Linked DNA regions of Oreochromis niloticus. The protein of the gene in region 2 binds, or shares a complex with, the protein of the main gene of each other region. Links are inferred from orthologs where the notes say so. Each region holds a gene or a part of one and is shown on either strand. Other genes may lie near its edges.

Region 1 (6,967 bases), on a different chromosome or scaffold from region 2:
TTTTACCACCACGATCCACACCCTATAGCAGAGCAAAAGGTAACAAACAGGTACAAAGCAAACCTAGTTAAACCTGTTTAGTTCATTTGTACTTTCCCTCTGCAAGCCTGTAACATAACACAGAAAGTTTTGGCACAATCGCAATAATAGAATGTACTGTGACTTCTACTGACATCGCACAAGACCGATGGCACAGCTTTTTAAACACAAGGCGGTAGATTATCCACAGTACAGATATATTTTTCATCATGCGTCCACTCTAAACGTTCCTCACACCACCTCATTTAAAGAAACAATGAGCCTTGACACAATATTTACTTTTTTTTAGAACAAAAATGCACTGTAGGTAACCCAATACTGTCAGTTGCATTCTGTTTGCACAAAAACATTGATTTATTTATAGAGTGAATAACTAAAATTTCAGTACATGCACACTGGGCCTTTTAATGTTTCTGTGTGAAGCATCATAATTAACAAATTCACACAACCTCAATTCTGATCTTTGGCTGCTTTTTTAAAATGTTTACCGCACGTGTTGGCATGTTAATAGAAACACACACTAACATTTAATGATGAAAACTCTCTCATAGTTCAGTTCAGTTTATTGTTGAGCTATTGTGAAATCACAGGGATCCTTTATCAGACTGTAAAATCTGTCATGGTTGTTACGTCTATTTGTGAAACAAATCTCAACATGCCCAAAGCCATGAGACTCAAAGGGGACTGGTTTCTGAATTACAGCCACAAACGAGTCTATACATGAAATAATTAGAAAACTCAGAAGATGTGTACATGACTAAGATACCAGGCATATAATTACTGTGTGTACATCTCATTAGAAACACCTGAAAATTAAACCAATTATCATATTTAAATACTCTACAAACATTTGTTATTAGTATGTTTTTAGCAGCCTGTTCGTACCACAGGCTCTTTACATCATAGCAGAAATGGTATAAAGCCTGAATTTACATTTAGCTTCACTTTACAGATGTGGTCACAGGGAGAATCCTTCTTCTGACAAACAGATGAATGTTCCCGACCCTGATCTTAAGTATTCAGCAGCCTCTTTCCATCACAGCAGCAATGCAATCAATTTAGCCCTAACCCATTTACCTAAAGCATTTATCCAGACCAATTACAGCAGCAGACCTCATCAGCATCCCACATCCTACACCAGTCACCGGCTTCTCTCTTCATGCTTCTAGCTACATGGCTCCATTTCACCCTCCACACAGCAGGGAATTGTATTTAATCAGCTATTTGCAACAGTTGGGAGGCAGTGCCTAAGCTTCAGCTGAGCACGGAGCTGGGGTATAAACCTCACTGGCTCTCATGTGAGCAGGGCTCGCACTGTCTGGATTATTGTCAAGCACATTACTGCCGAGCCTAATGTAACCCATATAGATGCTGCCCATCGATTTGACTAGCAGGGAGAAAACAACTGGATTACATAATTCATGTTCCATTTTGTTCTACTGGGAGGTAGCATAATAAATGAGACTGAGTGGCAACGATGACATGAATGATAATAGGTGCCTGTCTGCATTTCTTGGCATGTTCTGTCATGAGCAGATAGGTAATCACCCACCCCCCACTTACCGATACTGTGAGGTGACTCAACCTTTCATTCATTCAAATCACACCGTGTTTGTTGTTTAAAGTTGTCTGAACAGTATCTGCGAGAGTACTTGGAACAATTTTGTAGATACCAAATAATATCTCTCTCTCATTTCGACATATGTATATATATACATATATATATATGTATATATATATTTTTTTTTAAATGTTTTTCAGGACTAACAGATATGTGAAGAGCTTATTATTTAACACATGCTTCAAAATAAATAGCTGATATATATTTAAAGAATATCAGTGAAAGGTGCATTTTACATGTGCTTTCACTCTTTCAGAATTAAGTGGGGAAAGATCAGAGTAGTGGGGATCTAGTGTCATTTGTGGAGCAATGAACTTTAAAAAAAGTAACTTAAAACTGCCGAAATGTCATTGTTGAAGTCGAAATAAAGGGAAATGGGGAAAGAAAAAGTTAAAAATATATAAGTTGATAAAGGTTAATTAGTCACACGATTTTTTAAGTGTCGGTCAGTTTCCCAACCACTCCTCATTGAATTGCTTTCCACTCCCTTTATTGAAACCTAATCCTCTGAGAGCCGCTTCCTTGGAATTTAAACCAACAGTTATAACAAAAAAAGTTCACAGGTCTGATTTAAAATGGAAATAGCTTTGGTTTGTAGGCAACTAGTCCCACATGTTAATGTGAACATAAGTGTATTTAATTTAAAAAAAAAAAAAAAAAAAAAAAAAAAGGAAAAAGGAAAAACAAACTTACGTATCGGCTGATAAGAGTACGCAGAGTGCTGAAATCCATCCCCATTCTGTTCCTCTTCCCTCTCCGGACACTTCTTCTGCTCTCTGTCTTTTTCTCCTCCAAAGGTTATTTTTACTGCGGGCGCTAGCTTCTTTTTAATTCTACTCCTCTGTCCATGACTTTCTCTTCTCCCCCTTCTTCTTCTTCTGAATTGGAATAAAAAGGACTCGCTTCCAAACTCACCTACGGACCCCGTGACGGGCTTTAAACGGGGGTAGTGACTGTCTGTGCGTCTTCTCCTACAGTTTGAAGGCAATTCACACGGGTACCGAGCAGCTCCTCCTAAAGACTAGAAGCCAAACTAATATCCAGCTCTCTCGCGCTCCCTCTCTCTCTCCCCCCTCTGCGCGTGTACTAATAATCTTCTTGTCTCGCGCCGCGGCCAAAGGAGATTTTCTTTCATGTACGTCACGCGGAGCCAGGTGGTGGCTTTGGAACCGGGGGTGAAGGCATGCGCGCTCTAGTGTTTGTGAAGAGTAATTATTGATTGGGTGTCTCAGTTAACTGTGGGATATTTAGGGGATTTTTTCAGGCGCCGCAGAATTAAATTTAACTTAAAATAAAATAAAACAAAACAGCCCGGTGCTGTCCATAGATATGGTGCTGAAACCATTACATAAAATGTCAAAAATACACATAACTTTCAGCATAAGACTCATCTCATTTATTTATTTATTTAGTTGTTTGTTTATTACTTGGGTTAACTAAAGTTTCGTGATACAACTAATAACTCATTTGAAAGGCAAAATTTCTATTCATTTGCATCTCAAATCTCACCCACTTTTTCAAGCTCGGTTTAAAATGAGAAGAGATTTTCATAATATTTTAGAATCATTATTACAAGTTATTACTGCTGTCGTGACGCATCGGTTTGTAACAGGCAGGTCAGCGGGGTCAGAACAAAATAATTCATGGCACCACGTTTCAGGAGGGAAATATTTTCATCCACTTGTCCGCGCCCTGTTTCCTGGAGACGCTTTTCGGCGGGTTCTGTTGAAAGTCCGCCGTAAAAATAGAAATAATAACAACGGTTTCCTGTTAGAACCTTCAAAATAAAACCTACGTGATGGATTTTGGTTTGAACTGTAACAACTTTATTAATGATATGTCATAAATAGGCTTTTAGTTATTTTGCTATTTCTGCCATTCATTATTTATTTATTAATGGGACTGGTAGATAATTAAACATCCGGCATACATGTTGCACCTTTGGCCTTACTTACCAGTCAAAAGGGGTTTTTTACATTACAAGTTCCCCTTACATATTAATTTATCTGGTTATCTTGTCTTCCTTGTCTTTCTTGACACAGTATGTATTATCGTCTTGTTATTTTTTTGCGCAACAGTGCTTCTAATTTTGATTTGTACATTATTAATTAGCCTTCGTTAGTGTTGTGCAAGTTTTTAACGAAATAGGTAAGAAACTTTGTGCTTTTATTTTGAAGGCAAATGGCGCTGGTCGTTGGCAAATTCTTCCTAGCTTGCCTGAAGTTGTCAAAATGGCGTTGCTCGTAGCGGGGGATTGGAGTTAGTTCATATTATTCAGTCACATTTATTCATTTATTGGGGAACACACTGCCCATTTGCCACGGACAGCATGGCAACCCTGGATCAGAAATCTCCAAACGTCCTTCTCCAAAGCCTCTGCTGCAGAATCACGGGGAAGAGCGAAGGTACATCCATTACTGCTAGCAAGCTTCGCGCTACTGCACTACTGTAGTAGTCAGGAATTGCCAAACCTAACCTCATTCAAAAAATCAATTTTTTGTTGTTTCGCGTCCTTTTATTAATCATACATGAGTCACACGAAGCAGTATGTGAGTGTTGAACTTCCAGTGGCAAATTCGGCATTAATATTTCACATTAGACCGCTCTGATTCTTCTGTTTATTAAACGTTTTAAGCAGCGGGCGCCGACTCACCCGGTTTGTTTTGCAGACTGAATATTGTAGAAAACGGTTGAAGTTTTACTTAAATAACTGCTGCTCAGTCTTTCGGGCAACTGCCGAATTGAAGATATGATTTTATTAATTTCTTAAGGCCTTCAGGAGTCAACATGTCACTATAATGTCAAATTTAAATTTATATTGAGATAAAATATATTGATTTCTTTTTATGTGGCTATCGCTTTAGCTGTGTTGAAAAACGGCACGTAGCGGGGGCTCGGTTCGCGTGTCTGTCAGCCAATTGGCTTGGCCAGATGCTGCACATCCAGCTGAACAGCTTCACGGTGCTTCCACGAGTCGCTGTCGTACACCGTTACTTTTGCTCAAATAAAGTGCCTTTCTCGGTTATCTGTGAGATTGCTAGCCACTTAGCTCTGATTCTAATCTGTGTGGTAAATTGGATGCAGTTGCCTGGCTAGCTGTAGGCCCCTGTTGTAGATAGAGACAGAAGCCGTGTTTTTTTTAGTCACTTTTGATTAAAGGCCCAAAACCTTTGCAGTTGGCAATTGCAATGAAAAATAGCTTTTAAAATCTGTATCCAAAGTGTTAGTAACTGTCCCATCATGCATTATCCTTATTAAAGTAATGGCAAATCTGCACTCTCCTGGTCTGTAGGTTCATTTTGTTATATCCTGCTTGTGCTTTTGGAAAAGAAGTAAAACATTATAAGTAAAGTAATGATGTAACAGGGGGAAAAAAAATCCCCCAGTCAACACACTGTCATTTGTACATTCCTTCAAGCTGTTAGTCATGTCTTGATATTTGTTTTTTTTCCAGCTGAAGTTGCCCACCAGTTCCAGTACGCAGTACGAGTCATTGGCAGTAACTATGCTCCCACTATTGAACGAGATGAGTTCCTAGTGTCAGAGAAGATCAAGAAAGAGTGTGAGTGGCATTTGGATTGATGCTTTCCTCCCTCCCTCTGTGAAAGTAAATCCATTATAATCCACCGTATATTACTTCATTTAGTCATTGTGACATCTGATCCCCTTATGTCAGAATGCCAGCTTTAATACATGTGCTGGAAAATCTTTATTCCACCATACTACAGAATCCTATTTGACTTAAATGGGAGCAAGGTCACACCATTAGTGGGAAAACATTGATCCAAGCTTTGCTGCAGACTGTAAAACCAAAATAGCACAGCACTTACTGTACAGCATTTATTTATCCCAGGTGGACTTATCACAACAAGTTTTTGCTTAGTCTGTGTGTTTTTTAATTGCAACATTGCCACAAAAGCAATAACTGGATATTTTATATTGGTTAATGATGTGAAACAGTCAGACATTTAAATGAGATTAATTTGAGTGAGTTTAGCATATGAAATAATGTATTCTAGTAACTACTAACGAAATAGCATTTGTCCTGCAGCTCTAAATGCCAGCAGTGACGGGGTGTACCAGAGCTGGAGGGCTGGTTGTCAATATGAGGGCAGTTATAAATACAAACACAGTAACTTTGGGCTTTCAGAAGGGCTCTGCAGTCTGCTGGCTTTCTTTTTGAACTTCCACAATACATTTCCTACTTTTCTTTGTCTTGGTCTGCAGTTTGAAACAATATCCTGTCTGTGGAAAGTTTCTTTCTGTTATTTAAAAACCTGTTTGGCACAGGAGCATTTCCAGCTCTGTTCATTTGTTAAATGAGCCATTCATGGAGGGAGACACGACACCTAACACAATCGGTCTTAATGCTCTTGCAGTGCTGAAGCAGCGGAGAGAAGCGGATGCAGCTCTGTTCTCGGAGCTGCACAGGAAACTTCAGACACAGGTTGGTATTTGGATTTCTCTCTGAAAGGTATTATTAACCACAGAGGTATTAAAGCTTTAATGGAACAATTTCCCACTTGACTCATGATACAGCCTGCTTGCATAAAACAGAGGCCTGTTTAATTTGGTTCAGAGTAAGCCTCTGAAGGGCTGATAACACAGTACTGGTCATTAATTGTATGTTAATTAATTTATTTATTAATATGTCTCACCAGACGCCACAGTCACCCCTCCAGATAATAATACTGTTTTGTTTATTAAATGAAAGAGTCTTCCAAAGCATGCTTTTTGTCCTGTCTCACTCCCCTCACCCCTACTCGATCATGGCAGATGGCCGCTCCTCCCTGAGCCTGGTTCTGCTGGAGGTTTCTTCCTGTTAAAAGGGAGTTTTTCCTTCCCACTTTCACCTAGTGCTTGGCCATAAGGGGTTGTCTGATTGTTGGGGTTTTCTCTGTATTGATTTAGGGTCTTTACCTTAAAACGCTTTGAGGTGACTGTTGTTGTGATTTGGCGCTATGTAAATGAAATCGAATTGAACTGATTTGAAGGTGGTATTTTTTTATTCTGTTTTCCTGTTTGCAGGGTGTTCTAAAGCATCGCTGGTCGGTTCTCTACTTGTTGCTTAGCCTTTCTGAAGACCCCCGCAAACCATCCAGCAGGGTGAGGAACACACACACACTTAAAAACTCTTAAAAGCTTTTAGAATAGAGTAACTTTGCATGAATCAGAGTTAAAAGTCATTCTTATATATCTTACACTGGCCCTCACCCCAGGTGAGGTTTCATCAGATTGGCTACCCCTTTACAAACAGATGATCTGAACTGCAGATGGTGGAAGCTTCAGTGCTTATAGCCATTTATG
Region 2 (7,411 bases):
AAACAAACATTCTTCATATTAACAACCAAATACTTCAAACTTTCTCTTTTTTAACATCAACTTATTTATAATAATATCAAAGAAAAGCAGTAGCATTTACAGTCAAACAGGTACTGTAGTTGGCAGAGTCTCCCTCAGTTTCTGTCTGAATAATAAAAAAAACAATCTTCAGTTAAGTCCGTGTGGACATGTTTTTGAATCACTGGGATGCCAGTTCCATGAAGAACTGGAAACCAGTAACCATGACTGTAACCAGGATTTCAGATTTAGTTTGTCTGAACTAAGACATAATCAACGCACTGTTTCTCCAAGCTAATCGAAAAATTAAGAATAATGTGATCAATTCAATAAGGTGCAGCCCTGCTCTCCTAATATGATATCACATATACTGTTACAGTGGGCGACACTCATATTAACAATAAAACCAGTGTTTAGAAAAACCAGGGAATGTGCAAGTAACACCGTGTGAGCCAAAAGCTGCCCGTTTTTCTCCTCTTGGCTCTGTGTGACATCAGCGAGAGCAGGCGTGGCTCTGTCAGACACACAGCACACTGATCATCCTGCTGTTCATGAAGGGCAGCCAATTAGAATACAGCTGGCTGAGAGGGAAAGGAGCTGAATCAGCTGGTTTCAGACAGGGGGAGGGGCTGAAACAAATAAGAATGACTGTGAATTATGTTACAGAATCTAAATATGGAGATGGGAATGAGCGTAAGAGGCCCCCCCTCTTTAAGTGCAGCTCACGACAGAATAGCAATGTCATTGCAACCCTTCACGAGTACGATTAAAGGAAAAGACTGACATTTATCACTGAAACAAGAAACAACTAAACTAAATGCAGACTGGTGCGCCACAGTCTGATGTTTTTTTAATATTCTCAGTAAGGAACAGTACATCATGTTTAGAAAAGAATCGTTACCCTGCCAGGTTATTGAAGCTGTAATTGTTGAGTCCGTGTGACTCACTTTGCTTGTACGTTGTGAGTTGGAACCTAAAAAACCAAAACCCAACTCCTACCAATCAAATAAAACCTCATGTACTCCTGTGTTACCCTCATGAAATCAGCAGATAAAAAGCTGTGACACAGGAATGAACTGAAGGGGGAACGAACTACTGGCCAAACTGCTTTTGTCATAAACAGTCACAAACAGTGTAATATTGCAGTTTTGCTCATTGGTGGCTGCTGGACTTTTAACCAGTGCCACAGGCGCTCACTCCACACACTTTGGTTCGCTGTTTGCTGTCTTTACAACTCAGATAATGGCTGAAAATATCAGGAGCAGTGGAGTGGGTTTGTTTTTTTTGCAGACTTGGGACTAGTTTTATTGTTCTGGTGATCGTGCACGCGTAAGATTATTAAGAAATGAAGGTATTGTGTGAAATGCACCATGACAGTTAATGCTCCAAGTTACCTAATATTCTCTGGGCTTAGCTACGATGGTCAGCTGCATAACAGTCTGGTCCCGACACAGGCGTGAACGCCTTCAGTAGCTCCACCCAGTCAAAGCTTCTACGATGAACTGTCTTCCAGCTGCTCGTCCTGAAAAGGGTAGCTGAGAGCAGGAGGAAAGCCCTGACTGCGGGGCTGTTCGTCCAACAGCATCAGATCATCCACGTCTTTCCCTTTGTACCTCCGCCGACAGATCTTTACAGTGACTTTCCGCCCCTGAAATACTTTAAGGGCTTCTTTGGAAGCCATGGCTCTGGCAGCGGCCTCGTCGCGCCCGTATCCTGTGCCCATGAAAACAGTCTGACAGCGAATTTCACACACGTGGCCTTCCTTCTGTGTGCGGCCCGCGGGGAGGCCCGTGATGTCCTTCAGCGGCACAAACACGCACGTCAGGGTTTGCTTGCACGACTCCACGCAGCTGCGAAGGATTTCAAAATGGTCCAAGTTGGGCCCAAAGCCCCCGGCTGACACCAGTTTCCACGCCACAGCCTTGTACAGGCGGTTGAAGAAGGGCTGGTGCTCTGCTGGAGCCTGTGGAGGTGGTCCCAGCTTCTGACTCGCAGGCCGCGCCGCCGTCCTGAGCGCAGGTCTGCTGTCGAGCTCATTAGGCCCAGCCTTGGCTCTTTTCACGCAGCTGTCATCCTCAAGCTCTGCAAAAGATGACACAGCAGGCAGGAAAACGTTGACTGCACAGGAATCTGTATTTAATGAGGAAACAGAGCCTCAGGTGTGCGTGTGTGAAAGGGAAAAAACCCTGTGCGTAGGTAATTACACTGAAACCTCACAGCAACAGAGAACAGCAGTGAAATGGATTTGTTGGTCAGTAACGAGCTACAGAAAACTGTCAAATCTATTCTTAGATTGAAGTCACATCACTTGTAAAAGCCATCCAAGGTAACCTTAACCTGTTATCATGGAGGATGAAACTAATGCAAATATTACTCTGTGTGTTCATATATGTCCGTGTTGACACGTCGGAGTGACAGGATCTCTTTTGCTTCTTAGCAAGCTTGACGAGGTTTGTGCATTATTAGCAAGCAGTGTTTGTTTTTTGCACTTAAAAACGCTGCAGCCCGTTCGTGACAGATCCTGCTCTGTGTGTGGCTTAGTCACAAACACACAACAGTCACAGCCCAGATTTAAAGTATTACAGATTTACTGCTGTTTGCATTCACAGCCGCTATCATGGATTGTTGAGTCAGGCTTGGTCGGGCTGCTCCGACTTTCTGAGTTGGAAATCTGACCTGAGGCGATGTTCCAGTGGAAAATTCAGAGTGGGAAGTCACTAATAGTATTTGAATCCAATGCAATCACAATGCACAATAGCATTTTAAGCATTGTTAACTGGGCTTTTTAAATGATATACACAATGGAAATGATTTCAACTACAGCCGGCACTTAAACGGTCCTTAAATGAAATTTATAGGAAAATCAACATGGCTGTATTATATTATCTTTGCGGGCTGTTTTTGATGATATCATCAGTACAGGTGTGTTAATGTCACCTGTCACCATTGGTTTCCTATGTATATATCACCCTGAATATTCCAGAGAAGGTAGAAGTATGAGACTACAGGCCAAACACTCAAAAATCAATTATTATGATTTTCTGTCGTTATCAAGCAGCAGCAGAAAAACCTGGACCCATTAAATAACAGGTAGTTTTCCCAAATGTAACCTGTGAAGATGAAATGTTAAACATGTGCACTGCTTACCAGCTGATGCGCTCCTCTTTCCTCTGGCTGTGAATTCATCTTTTGTTGTTTTGTGAACAGGAGGATCTTGGACTTTTATCCCTTCTCCCATCTCTTTGATCTTGTCCATTACAGCCTGTGGATAGCTGAGGGATTTAAAAGGTAACAATGAACTCTTATTATAGCGGAGAGCATCCACAGCTTGTCATTCTGCTCCATCAGCGTGTCCTACCTGCAGCCCAGGAAAACGTGATTAGCCCAGACCATGGACAAAGAGAGCAGCCTGTCCAGGCTGCTGCTGGAGACTCCTGGCTTCACTGTCGGGAAAGCCTCCATGTTCCTAAGGATGAACTCTCTCCGAGCGACCCACTGCTTGTTGCTCTCACAGTAGCTTCTGAATGTTTCCACCCATTGGGCCAGCTGCGGATTCTGGCCCAGGTACTCTGCAACCACGTCCTCTCCGCCACTCTCCCCCGCCATCCCTGCACTCAGACACGGTTTTACGGTTAGAAGAACAACAGAAAACTAGCAGCAGCTTATTTATTTGTTAGCGGTTAGCAGTGCTAGCGTGAATCATGCCACTTAAACTCAACAGGTCTGCGTTAGACGACGTAAAATGGCGGTGGCCCTACTAGTTTCAAACCGCTGGTGTTTTCCTGCTGACTTGCCTGAGAGCAGCCTAACGTTTGTTGTGTCAACTAGTAAATATACCAGAGTGGACCCAACAAACCGACTCCACGAACTAACGTTAGGACAAACGGCTAGTGGAATAACATTAGCTACAGCAGAAGACACGCTAACAGCAAAAACACAGACATAAACGAGAGTAACGGGATTGCCGTCGCTTGCACGGGAAATATAAAGTTAGTATTTTATACAGTAACTACGACATACCAAGCGCTCTCCGTTGCGATGTGCTTCAGCTAGTTACATGACCGAATGATGACGCCAGACTCGCGACGATATCTTAGTGCACAGGAAAAAAACTACAATTCCCATGAGCTGGCTTGTGTTTACGCATCTCGCAGAGCTAATTGAAACCCAAACGAAGCACGCGTGGAGTTGCTAAAGGCTCTTGTCGATTTTAAAAACAAATAACATCGCAAGCCTGACTCTTCCACTACCGTGGAGCGATGTCTCCGGCTCCTGCAGCACTCTTCCCGTGATGCTTTTCGCGCTCACGTAACAAATCTGCGACGGCTCGGGCGGCGGTTTGTTTTGGTGGCTGAATGGGAATCTCTCCGCTACAATTTGAATTTCAGACACTTTAAGTTTCATTGACATGATTCACGAGCTCTTACTGGCGCTGAGCGGATACCCGGGGACGATTTTTACATGGAACAAACGAACAGGTTTACAGGTAACACGGAAACACTGCAGTTCTCTGATACGATAACTTCACTCAGATGTTAGCTAATATGCATGTGGTTACAAGTCAAAGCTTGACAATTTATTACAATTCAATTATGCATAAGCTAAATTATTAGCTTTGGTAGCACTATATTAAAGATATGCATTTTTGCTAGGATAGCTTACTGACAATTGGCAGGTTTGAATACTGCAAGATGAAACGTCACTCACCTGCCTTTTTATTAGGTACCCCTGTTCGTTTACGCAAGTATCAGCCAATCGCATTACTGCAAATCTGTGCATTTAGGCATGTCTGTGAAGGTTCTCAGTCATTCAGGTCATCGTAGTCTAAGGATCTTGGATAGAAAAGCGTCTGGACTTAAACTTTAAGTTGCTTGAAGACGTTTCACCTCTCAGTAGAGAAGCTTCTTCAGTTCTAGGGTCAAATGGTGGAGAGTCCCAGATTTAAGCTCTTTGGGAGTAACCCCTCCAAAGAGGGACAAAAGGACCCCCTGATGATCCTCTACCTAATCACATGAGCCAAGGTGGGTCCCAATCAGCCAGGGTTTCGGGTGAGCTCATTGTGAAACCTGGCCCCACCCTATCATGTGATTTCCTGAGGTCAGATGGCCCAGGATGTGAGTGGGCGTTAAGGCGTGTGGGAAGGATCTCAAAACTGGATTATAGATGGCAGACAGTTGGTGTCGTAAACCACCGCCTCTGTTCAAAGATGGTCGCTCACAGTGGACATAAATCATCTGTCCTCGCTGTCCAAAATGTGAACATTGGCGCCTCGAAAGAGTGACCTTTGACCTTTAGATGCAGATGGACTGCTGAGTCTTGTCCCGTGGAGGTGGCTCTTCTATGTTGTGCGCTTGTGAAGTGGCTGTTTGGTCTCTCCAGTATAGAGGTCTGGGCATTCCTCACTACAATGTACAGCATACACCACATTGTTCAGTCTGTGTTTTGGAGTTTTGTCTTTGGGATGAACCAGTTTGTGTCTGAGTGTGTTGCTGGGTCTAAGGTAAACTGGGATGTTGTGCTTGGAGAAAACTCTCCTGAGTTTCTCTGATACACCGGCTACATGTTGGATGACAATGTTGTTGCGTCTGTCTTTCTTATCCTCCCTCGCTGGTGTCTGATCTTCTTTTCTGTGCCTCTTTGCTGACTTGATAAACGCCCAGTTAGGATAACCGCATGTTTTCAGTGCTTCCTTTACATGTGTGTGTTCCTTCTTTTTCCCTTCAGGCTTAGAGGGAACATGTTCTGCCCGGTGGTGTAGGGTCCTAATTACTCCAAGTTTGTGTTCCAGAGGGTGGTGGGAGTCAAAGAGGAGGTACTGGTCCGTGTGTGTGGGCTTCCAGTAAACTTCAGTGTTGAGGTTTCCATTCCCTTCAGTGCGCACGGCACGGTCACATGGAACATGGAAGTGGAAGAAGAGGCTCTTGGCTCTTTTAAAAGGAGAGCACCTAGCCACTGGTAAAGATATGTGGACAACACCTGGGTCAAAATCAAAACACAAGAAGTGGAATCCTTCACTGCTCACATCAACGCTGTGGATAAAAACATAAAGTTCACCAGGGAAGACACAAAGGATAACTGTTTGCCATTCCTGGACTGTGCTGTGCACATTGAAGAGAATGGCAACCTCAACATCGAAGTTTACTGGAAGCCCACACACACAGACCCCTCCTCGATTCAGAGATGGTCTTTCCCTTTTCATGTAAATGGCCTTGTTGACTCTGCGCTCAAACCAGCGTTCCTCCCTGTCCAGGATGTGTACATCCTCATCACTGGCCTGTAGGCGTAAATAGTCCTGGCCTGATGATCTGCCATCCTCTTCGCCAGAGGTTGTTTGGTTTCCCTGATGTATAAATCCTGGCAATCCTCCTGGTGCTTAACACGATCCCCAAAGGAGATCTGTGTTATACTGATTTTATGTTAGAAACCAGAGAAAGGCTTTTTGTGTTTTTAAGCTCTGCTCTCATTGAAATAATTACCAACATTACTTACTTCCCTTCTTCCTTTTGCTGCAACATTGTCTTTCATTGCTGTTATTTACATGTAAACTCGTCTGTTTTGTATCCATGTGTTTGGTGCTTTTTGCAGTTAAAATTTACAAGTGGGTGAATGGGTGTGGTATTTTTTCAAAAGGTCTATTCAAATGAATATTCCAGCTGTAAGCAGGACAGTGTGTGGGAGCGCCATTTGATTTGATTTGATGTCTTTTATGAAAGGCAAAGAAGGAACATCTTGTACACATCTCATTCTGTGTGTTTAGAAAACAGATGTGTTCTAATAAAAGTGTGAGATGGAGAGTGTGCCTGTTGTGTGTCAGAGCTAAGCTGACATAACTCTGTCTTTCTTTTATGGTGTAAGCAGTTATAAAAGTGTAATACAGACAAATGTCTTGACTATATTTAAATAGAAGTATCAGAAAAAATGTTAGCAGTCTTTGTTTTACAGCTTCATATATAGATGTCCTAATACATGCTCAATCATCCAGGTAAGTAAATCTCCAAAAGTTGATTCTGTTCATCTGGACGTAGCGGTGAATGGTACTCATGGCAATTGATCAGTGGTTGTTGATCAATGGTCATGAGAATTTGCATAATCATGATGAAGGTGACCTCCCAGCCCATTGTTCCTTCAGTGGGCTGGTTTCAGTCATTATGCAAATGTACTGTTTATAAGATTGGGGAAACCTGCAGTCAGCTGAGACTGAAGACGTCACCTGGATGAGTGACGAAACGTTTCTTCCACTGAAAACGTCCAGATGAACAGAATCAGCTTTTGGAGAATCATATGGTAGTGAGTTGTGGCTGAAATATTCAGTGTATAATTCATTTATTAGGCAAGTTTCAAAGATAATCATTAGGGGTAACAACTGCTCCCAGTCACAGTGTTCACAGTGTTC
Region 3 (7,038 bases), on a different chromosome or scaffold from region 2:
GTAGATTTATGTTGTATTTACCGAATGTAAACACGTTGATGTGAGGTGTTTAGACAGTCGTGTGTTAATTTAGCTTCAGACTCACCCCCGCTCAGTGTCCCACTCCTCTCCGCTGTTAGGGTACACCACCCAGCTCATGTCTGAGGTGTGCAGTGGTCCAGCAGAGTCCAGCAGCGGCTCCACCACGTCTGGAGGACAGCAGTTGACTCCCACAGCGAGCAGCTGCCTGGATCTGCTGGCAACCCGCACGGCGTCAGCGAACAGGCTGCCGTCCGATATACACTTCTGGTCCTGATGGCGAGGTGAGTCATTGCGTGACTAACAACAAACTAATATGTATCTTTCACCATTGCTGTTCACCGGCAGTGATTACCTTACAGGAGAATGACAGCCAGGCTTTCGAGTTTGGAAACTCCCTCAGCAGCTCCACCACAGCCTCCGCCTCTTTGATGCTCGGGATTGTCTCAAAGGCGATGAGATCAGCTCCTGCAGCTGCTAAGCAGTCAATCTGAGGCCGGTGCCAAACTTTAAGCTCCTTCAAATAGATTAAAGACACCTGAGAACATTTATTCTCACCTGTCTCAGCAGTAAATGGATCTATAAACTTACTGAGAACAACATCAGAAGGATCAGGCAACATAAATAATCAAATCTGACCCCCTCGGATTCAGAATCGTGCAAAACGTTCCCTTCATACTGTGAATATTTTCAGTTTAAGGCACTCAAAGTACAATATAGGTAAAAAAGAAGTCCTTTCATATGCTTTTACATGGTAATATGAGCTGAACGTTTACCCAGAATGCACGTTTTAAAATATTCTCCAGTGGATTATCCAAAAATATGTAAAACATCCAGGGTACCTATGCTGGTTTTTGTTCCCCTGCATCAGAGATGTTAAACTGCTGCAGTTTTGCTGCTAATTATTAGTTTACAAAGCTTAAATGTTGATCTCTGTTGTACTCAAAATGCTTTAATTTTTTTTGTAACTCTGAAAATAGCAATAGTATTAAGGTAAAAAGTGTCATAGTGTCATTAAATATACTGAAGTTATTGTCCCAAAAAAGGAGGTACTTAATGATTTTTCATGGAACAAACCTAAAATATAAACAGAACCAGAACCGGAGATATAAACAACTATTCTGGGTAATCTTCTCAAAGCAGGCATAAAGTCCAGTACGTGGCTGAGGGGTACTTACTTCAACACTCATCTGCTCTGCGTAAGCTCCAGTGTACTCCGAGCCATCGTGCAGAAAGGCCCCGTACGGCCCCACAGAGCCTGCCACCAGGGGGCGTCTCTGCCCTTTACAGAGAAATAAAATGTGAGATTATATCACAGTTTACAGCCAGAGTCGGCTCAGCTCAGCGTAAGCTCTCCTACCTGACTCAAACCCCTTCACCGTCTCTTTGGCCAGGTGAACTCCGGACATCAGCAGCTCTCTGGCGCGTTCAGCGCTCACCTCCAGGTGGCTGATGAATCCTGGGATACTTGCCTGGTATGTGGCTGTCGTGATGACATCAGCACCACTGAGCAGGAACCTGTTCACACACACACACAGATTTAAGACTCTGAAACTAGAAAGTTTATTTACCAACACTTTGCATGGACACACCTGTAATGAGCATCTCTTATGGCCTGAGGATCAGTGTGCAAAAGCCTGGCGCTCCACAGAGGGTCTCCCTGCATATGTAACACACACACACATGAATTTCAGTCCAGATTCACAGAACAATATTAATAAAACATGTTATAATTGATCTGTAAAGACCAGATAAAAATACTATTCACGTTTTTACGTACTTTACATAAATAAAAACACAAGTTTTGGTAACATTTATTGGATATTTTACTCATGTCCCTATAGATCATGTACTAGAAAGTAACATTACAGCATCTCAACCTTCAGAGTTATTATAGTTTTATATTTTCTAATTAGTTTTTATTTGTATTTCATTTTGACGTTGTTTTGAAGTCCGTTCAGTTTTTTTGTTTGAAAATATTTACATTTTATTTCATTTTTATTAGTTTCAGTGTTTTAGTTTTAATCTTTTTAGTTTTTGTAATTATTATCTTTTACATTATAGGGAGGGAATGTGTCAAGAGGCCAGATTTGGGAAATTCAGTAAAGATATTACAATAAAAACATAAAAGCTGTGAAAATCAAGTGACTCACAGTCACAGACAGGCTGTGAGAACAGGGCCAGAGGATATATTCAGGTCATTTAACCATCTCTCTGAAAATAAATACAAAACCTTGCAGGTATTTTCTTCTGCAAAGATACAGAGTATACTCAGATCACTGATGGACCTTTGATGCTCAGGTTTGACTGACTCGCTAAAGTTCAGCAGGCTGTGATTCTAAGTAGGGAATAGCTGCAGTCTACCTCCCAGGTGAAGCATTGTGAGCAACTAACAAGTCCCAAGTCGCACAAGTTTCACCAGCACGTATGAAAGGAAATGCAGGTGTGGTGACGACTGGAAGCTTCTGGGGTGGAGTGGACAGAGTTTTTCTAACTTCACAAACAGATGTGCCGTAGACAAAGAAACTTAATGTAAGAAGAAAAAAAACTTCTGTTTTGTTTTGTGCACTTTTGAATCTCTTTAGGATTCAGTGGGTTGGACTTCTCAGGGCCACATATGCTCCCATCCAGGTGACGTCTTTTTCGGGGAAGGCCTTGCGTATTTCAGCAGGGGGATGGGAAACAGCATACTTCATCAAATCTGAGTCTGGGGGCTGAACTGCAGGCCTGTAGTCCAGACCTTTCATCAAGCAAAGCGTCTGGAGCATCATGAAACCAAAAACACAACAAAGCAGATTCAGGACTGCTGAGCAGCTAGAATCCTGTATCAGACCAGAACGGGATGACATTCCTCTCCTGATAAGTCCAGCAGCTGCTCTCCTCAGTTCCCAGACACATGGCCTCGTCCCACCCTTTTTTTTATAGATATGTTGCTGCCATCAACTTCAAAATAACCTTGTTGTTAATGTTTTTTTTCTTAAAATGGTACTCAGTTTTCTGTGTTCTATTTTGAATAAGATATGGGCTCATGATTTGCAGTCATTTCACTATGTTTTTATTTACATCTTACACACTGTTCTGTAGACTGTTGCTTTAATGCTTGTATTTAAATTTAACCCTAATAATCCTAACTTCAAATGTTATTTTATTTTATTGAACATTCTCTTTATTCAGAGTATTTGGCTACATGTTTTTATGTTTAAAACTTTAAATATACAGAAATTAAACACTAAACAGACTTTTCACATATTTAGTTTGTTGGGATCTGATAAGCCTGGCTAAGGTCTCTGAACCACAGCTTTAAAATTACTTTTAAATTACTTGTATAAGTCAGTAACACAACTACAAAACAAATAGCACAGCCACCATGGAGACATGGATTGACTGAAAATAGACACAAAACATCTCCAGAGAGAAATTAAATTAGTCTAATCAATAGAAAATGGTGACCTGTTGCAGGTTGTTTTTATGATTTACCTGCAGTTTGGCTCCATGCGCTTCCAGATCAGTTGCCAGTCCACCATCTAGGATCAATGGCCCTTCATCATTAACCATCTGTGTGAGAAGAGCAGAGGAGCCCATGGAGCAACACTTCATTAAAAAATTTACTGGAGAATTCTTTGCACTGCTTTTCATAAGAAGATCATGCAGTCAAGTTATTAACGCTGACTGCTCTGAAATAACACCCCCGGGCAGCTTAATTATTCACACAGATGAGAGTGAAGTGCAACATCAGATCCTTCATTTTTCACTATGTTGTTCTTCCGGGTAACAGTGCAATGAAAAGGTGCGTTTATGGCCGCTGAAAACTGAACTTCTTCGCAGCATCAGCAGACCGCCACTAGGTGTCCTCATACACAATAAATGCACAGTGTATTTCACCAGAACCCGACTCTTGCCTCGCTCCTTTACTTTAAAAACCACCACTGGAGCAAGACAGCGCAGCTTTTCTTTTGTACTGCTTTATAATTATCATGTATACAGTTTAATTAATGATATCCATCCAATGATTTATGACTAATATATTACATTTTAAGGTCTGTATAAAAACAAATAACAAAAACTGTGCTGAAAGGTCAGAATTCCCATGAACACGTGAATGCACCTCTGCAGTTACTATAGAAACGAAGTACGGCTAATGTTTGCTAGCTGACAACAGTGCGCTGTCACACAGAGTTTACAGGGATGTTTTAAAAGATGGTGAGTAAAGGTTCCCTCCTGTCATCAAACCGGGGGGCGTGAGGGCTTCGGTGAAGGTAAAAACTTCCGTTAGAGCCTGAAACAGGTTGCTGTTTGCTACCGTTAGCATAATAAACACAAGCTAGCCGAGCAGTTCTAAACATCAGTGCTTCAGGCTAACGGGTTAGCCGTTAGCTCCTTTAAAAATATCATTTATGGCTTATACACAGTTTAACTACAGATACTACAGGTAGCTGTGTGGTTAACGTCTAACGGTGAACATTAGCTGTGATTAAATTAGCTAAAGGTGTAGCTGAGCAGGTGCTTTTAATGCTGGTAAACCTGGCATCAAACATGTTTCTGCTCAAAGAGTTTCTATCCATTCAGCTGGTGCCCATGTTTTCTGTTTATTCTATTAACTAGGCTGAGTGGAGGAGATGGTCTGAGCTTTTAGTTGTGAGAGACATCCTCATCTTTCACATGGTGTGTTAGACGACTGATTAATGCTAAACTGCAGACTGGTTAATCAATCAATCAAATTATATTTGTGTAGCACCTGTAGGAGGTGGGTCCAGATACTTTACAGAAAACAAAATGCAATGAAACAGAATATGAGAGGAAGAAAATTATGAGCATGTTAAAAATAACTGAAAACATAAAACATTACAAAGTAAATAGCCTGAAGTGCAATAAGACTGTTGGTATTTTAAGAGCTAATCGAAGAAATAGGAGATATAGAGTGGCTTAAAAGAGGGGGAGGAGGGCAGTCATTTACTATGAAAAAATAACCCATTTTGAATTCTTCTTAATTAATCAGACTAACAGCACCAAAACACTGTTACTGATTTATTTGTCCTTGAAGAAATTGTATTCATTCATCCTACTTTTTACTGCCTCTGTGCCTTTCCAGTGGTGCCATCCCACATTGATGGAGCACTGCTTTGAATATACAGACTCAGAAAAGTAATAGTAGATTTAGCACTGATGTTTTGCTTGTTCGGGATAAGACCCGGATCATCGCCAGGCTTCATGAAGCAGTGGTGCAAGAGATAGGGAGCGTTTTCTTTGCAAAACCAATTGGATTAATGATGAGCAGTAGACCAGGAAACACCTTCAGCAAATCATCCTTTAAACATGATAACATTGGCCTGGTGGTGATTAGGACAATCACTGCAGCGAAATAGTCTGTGAAATCACTTCCTGTGTCTTCCTAGCTGCTTAATCTTGATAGGAAACGGCATGAGGAAGATAAGGAGTGTGGAAACACGAACTTCAATGTCCTAAAGATGGATTTTTTTTATTATTATTAGTCCTTTATTTATTCAGGTAAAAATCTCATTGAGATTTAAAATCTCATTTCCAAGAGAGACCTGGCAGAATGATGAATGCAATGCATGGATGAATGCAATGATTTGCAAATCTCATGAGCCCATATTTTATTCGCTGTAGAAAACCCAAAAAATGATCTTCTCTGTGGTATATTTGGTTTTGTGATGCTCCAAATGTTTTCGTTTGGTGAAAGGTCTGATCTGCAGGAAGTGACCTGCAAACCAAATCCAGGCTTGTGTTGCTCAGTGGCAACAGTGCTAACCGATCGTTATCCGTGTTTACTGAATTATTTTTGGTTGACAAGGTGAACTGAATAAAGTCTGCTACTAGTCAGGTGAGCATACCTGATCATATTGAGTCATAACATTTCTGTGCTTAATAATAACAGAAGCCTTTGGTTTGTAAAAAGCCAGATTCTGTAAATATTGACCACCTTATGTACTGCATTCATTTTCTGTTAATAAACACATTTGTGGAAATGTACCAAAATGTAAAAATAAACCTGAGCTGTGTGGATTCGTGCCTCCCAGTTTACATCTGTGAGGTTTGCATATTCACCTGAACATTGGCCTGTGGTTTCAGGCGACATGGTGACCTTTTAAAAGCTCAGTATGTTTAATTTGTTGGCACAAATTCAGGGTTTTCCTGGCTCAAACTGGGCCTTTGGGGTTGAAAAAACACACATGATTTGTCCTCATAAGTGAGTTAGTTTCAGTTTTTTGAAATAAATTGTCAATTTTGTGTTATTTTTGATCATTTTATAATGAGAAATGTCTAATATGCTGGAGGAAATTAATCATGTGGGTGAAAAAAGAATCAGTTGATTTTCTTTTGGCTTTTTTGGGGTTGCCAGAAATTCTCCTTTGCAGAAAGAAGCTTAATATCGAAGTTATATTTATTTATTTATTTTCAGGAGGACCGGTTTGCCTTTCTTACAGAGTGGTATGACCCCACCTCCGCCCTCCTGCGGCGTTATCAACTGTTTTACTACCCCAGAGATGGCTCAGTAGAAATGGTACGCTTTTACCCCAGTGCTTACTTTTTGTCTCTCTTTTTTCTGCCTGAAGGTGTGTTTATGAATGTTCTTTTTTTAATCCAGAATATGAATACCTTGTAATGGAAATTGTAAATAGCTTATTTGTTTTAATTAACTCTATATTGATGAAAATTTCAGATTTTTTCTTTAGCATTTCTGAAAAATATACCTGTTTCACAGTTCGATGTAAAGAACCAGCGGATATTTCTGAGAAGGACCAGATACGATGACATCCATCAGGAGGACTTATTTATTGGGAATCGAGTGAACGTGTTCTCACGACAGCTACATCTGATCGATTACGGGGATCAGTACACAGCAAACAAACTCGGCAGTAAAAAAGAAAGGTATGATCATTCATCTAACTTGCATTTGGGGGTGTGTCTACCCATGTAGACATGATTGATCTATTTGGAAAGTTATGGCCTTACAAATAAATCCTTTAACTGTAACCTACTGACAGACATTAAAAACAC

What was found. Proteins that work in one complex are often made in the same cells at the same time.
Region 1: the proteins of tubgcp4 (region 2) and tubgcp3 are in contact, whole or in part, in a cryo-EM structure (PDB 7QJ0), measured with the Homo sapiens proteins. The link is inferred for Oreochromis niloticus from reciprocal best matches to the Homo sapiens genes TUBGCP4 and TUBGCP3. Residues at the interface, in NP_001273343.1 of Homo sapiens: His35, Pro36, Ser37, Glu38, Ser40, Val41, Arg44, His116, Leu117, Ser118, Ser120, His121, Tyr124, Phe125, Asp127, Gln128, Leu131, Pro134, Lys159, His160, Cys162, Gly163, Gly164, Leu165, Pro166, Arg169, Leu630, Ser631; in NP_006313.1 of Homo sapiens: Arg252, Asp253, Tyr256, Gln259, Ile261, Asp262, Lys264, Arg305, Ser312, Leu313, Arg315, Leu319, Gln322, Ser323, Cys325, Ala326, His329, Arg333, Tyr336, Arg337, Ser340, His343, Ser344, His424, Pro425, Tyr593, His595.
Region 3: tubgcp4 (region 2) and nme7 share a complex: the UniProt entries of both Homo sapiens proteins name them as parts of the gamma-tubulin ring complex. The link is inferred for Oreochromis niloticus from reciprocal best matches to the Homo sapiens genes TUBGCP4 and NME7.

Annotation. Positions count from the first base shown.
Region 1 is NC_031986.2:12,174,882-12,181,848, reverse strand, and holds the start of tubgcp3 (gamma-tubulin complex component 3), read left to right. Parts: upstream 1-3,857; 5' UTR 3,858-3,989; coding exon 3,990-4,065; intron 4,066-5,114; coding exon 5,115-5,222; intron 5,223-6,039; coding exon 6,040-6,107; intron 6,108-6,688; coding exon 6,689-6,766; intron 6,767-6,967. Other genes in the region: atp11a (probable phospholipid-transporting ATPase IH), read right to left, coding at 2,354-2,398. UniProt on the Homo sapiens protein: Component of the gamma-tubulin ring complex (gTuRC) which mediates microtubule nucleation.
Region 2 is NC_031965.2:1,219,058-1,226,468, reverse strand, and holds the start of tubgcp4 (gamma-tubulin complex component 4), read left to right. Parts: upstream 1-4,426; coding exon 4,427-4,504; intron 4,505-7,411. Other genes in the region: cdkn2aip (CDKN2A-interacting protein), read right to left, coding at 1,511-2,100, 3,166-3,290, 3,377-3,626, 4,269-4,428. UniProt on the Homo sapiens protein: Component of the gamma-tubulin ring complex (gTuRC) which mediates microtubule nucleation.
Region 3 is NC_031986.2:33,233,006-33,240,043, reverse strand, and holds the start of nme7 (nucleoside diphosphate kinase homolog 7), read left to right. Parts: upstream 1-3,928; 5' UTR 3,929-4,215; coding exon 4,216-4,218; intron 4,219-6,439; coding exon 6,440-6,541; intron 6,542-6,742; coding exon 6,743-6,909; intron 6,910-7,038. Other genes in the region: zgc:172121 (homocysteine S-methyltransferase 1), read right to left, coding at 86-291, 374-556, 1,197-1,300, 1,379-1,536, 1,611-1,678, 3,496-3,654. UniProt on the Homo sapiens protein: Possesses an intrinsic kinase activity. Displays 3'-5' exonuclease activity with a preference for single-stranded DNA. Does not seem to have nucleoside diphosphate kinase activity.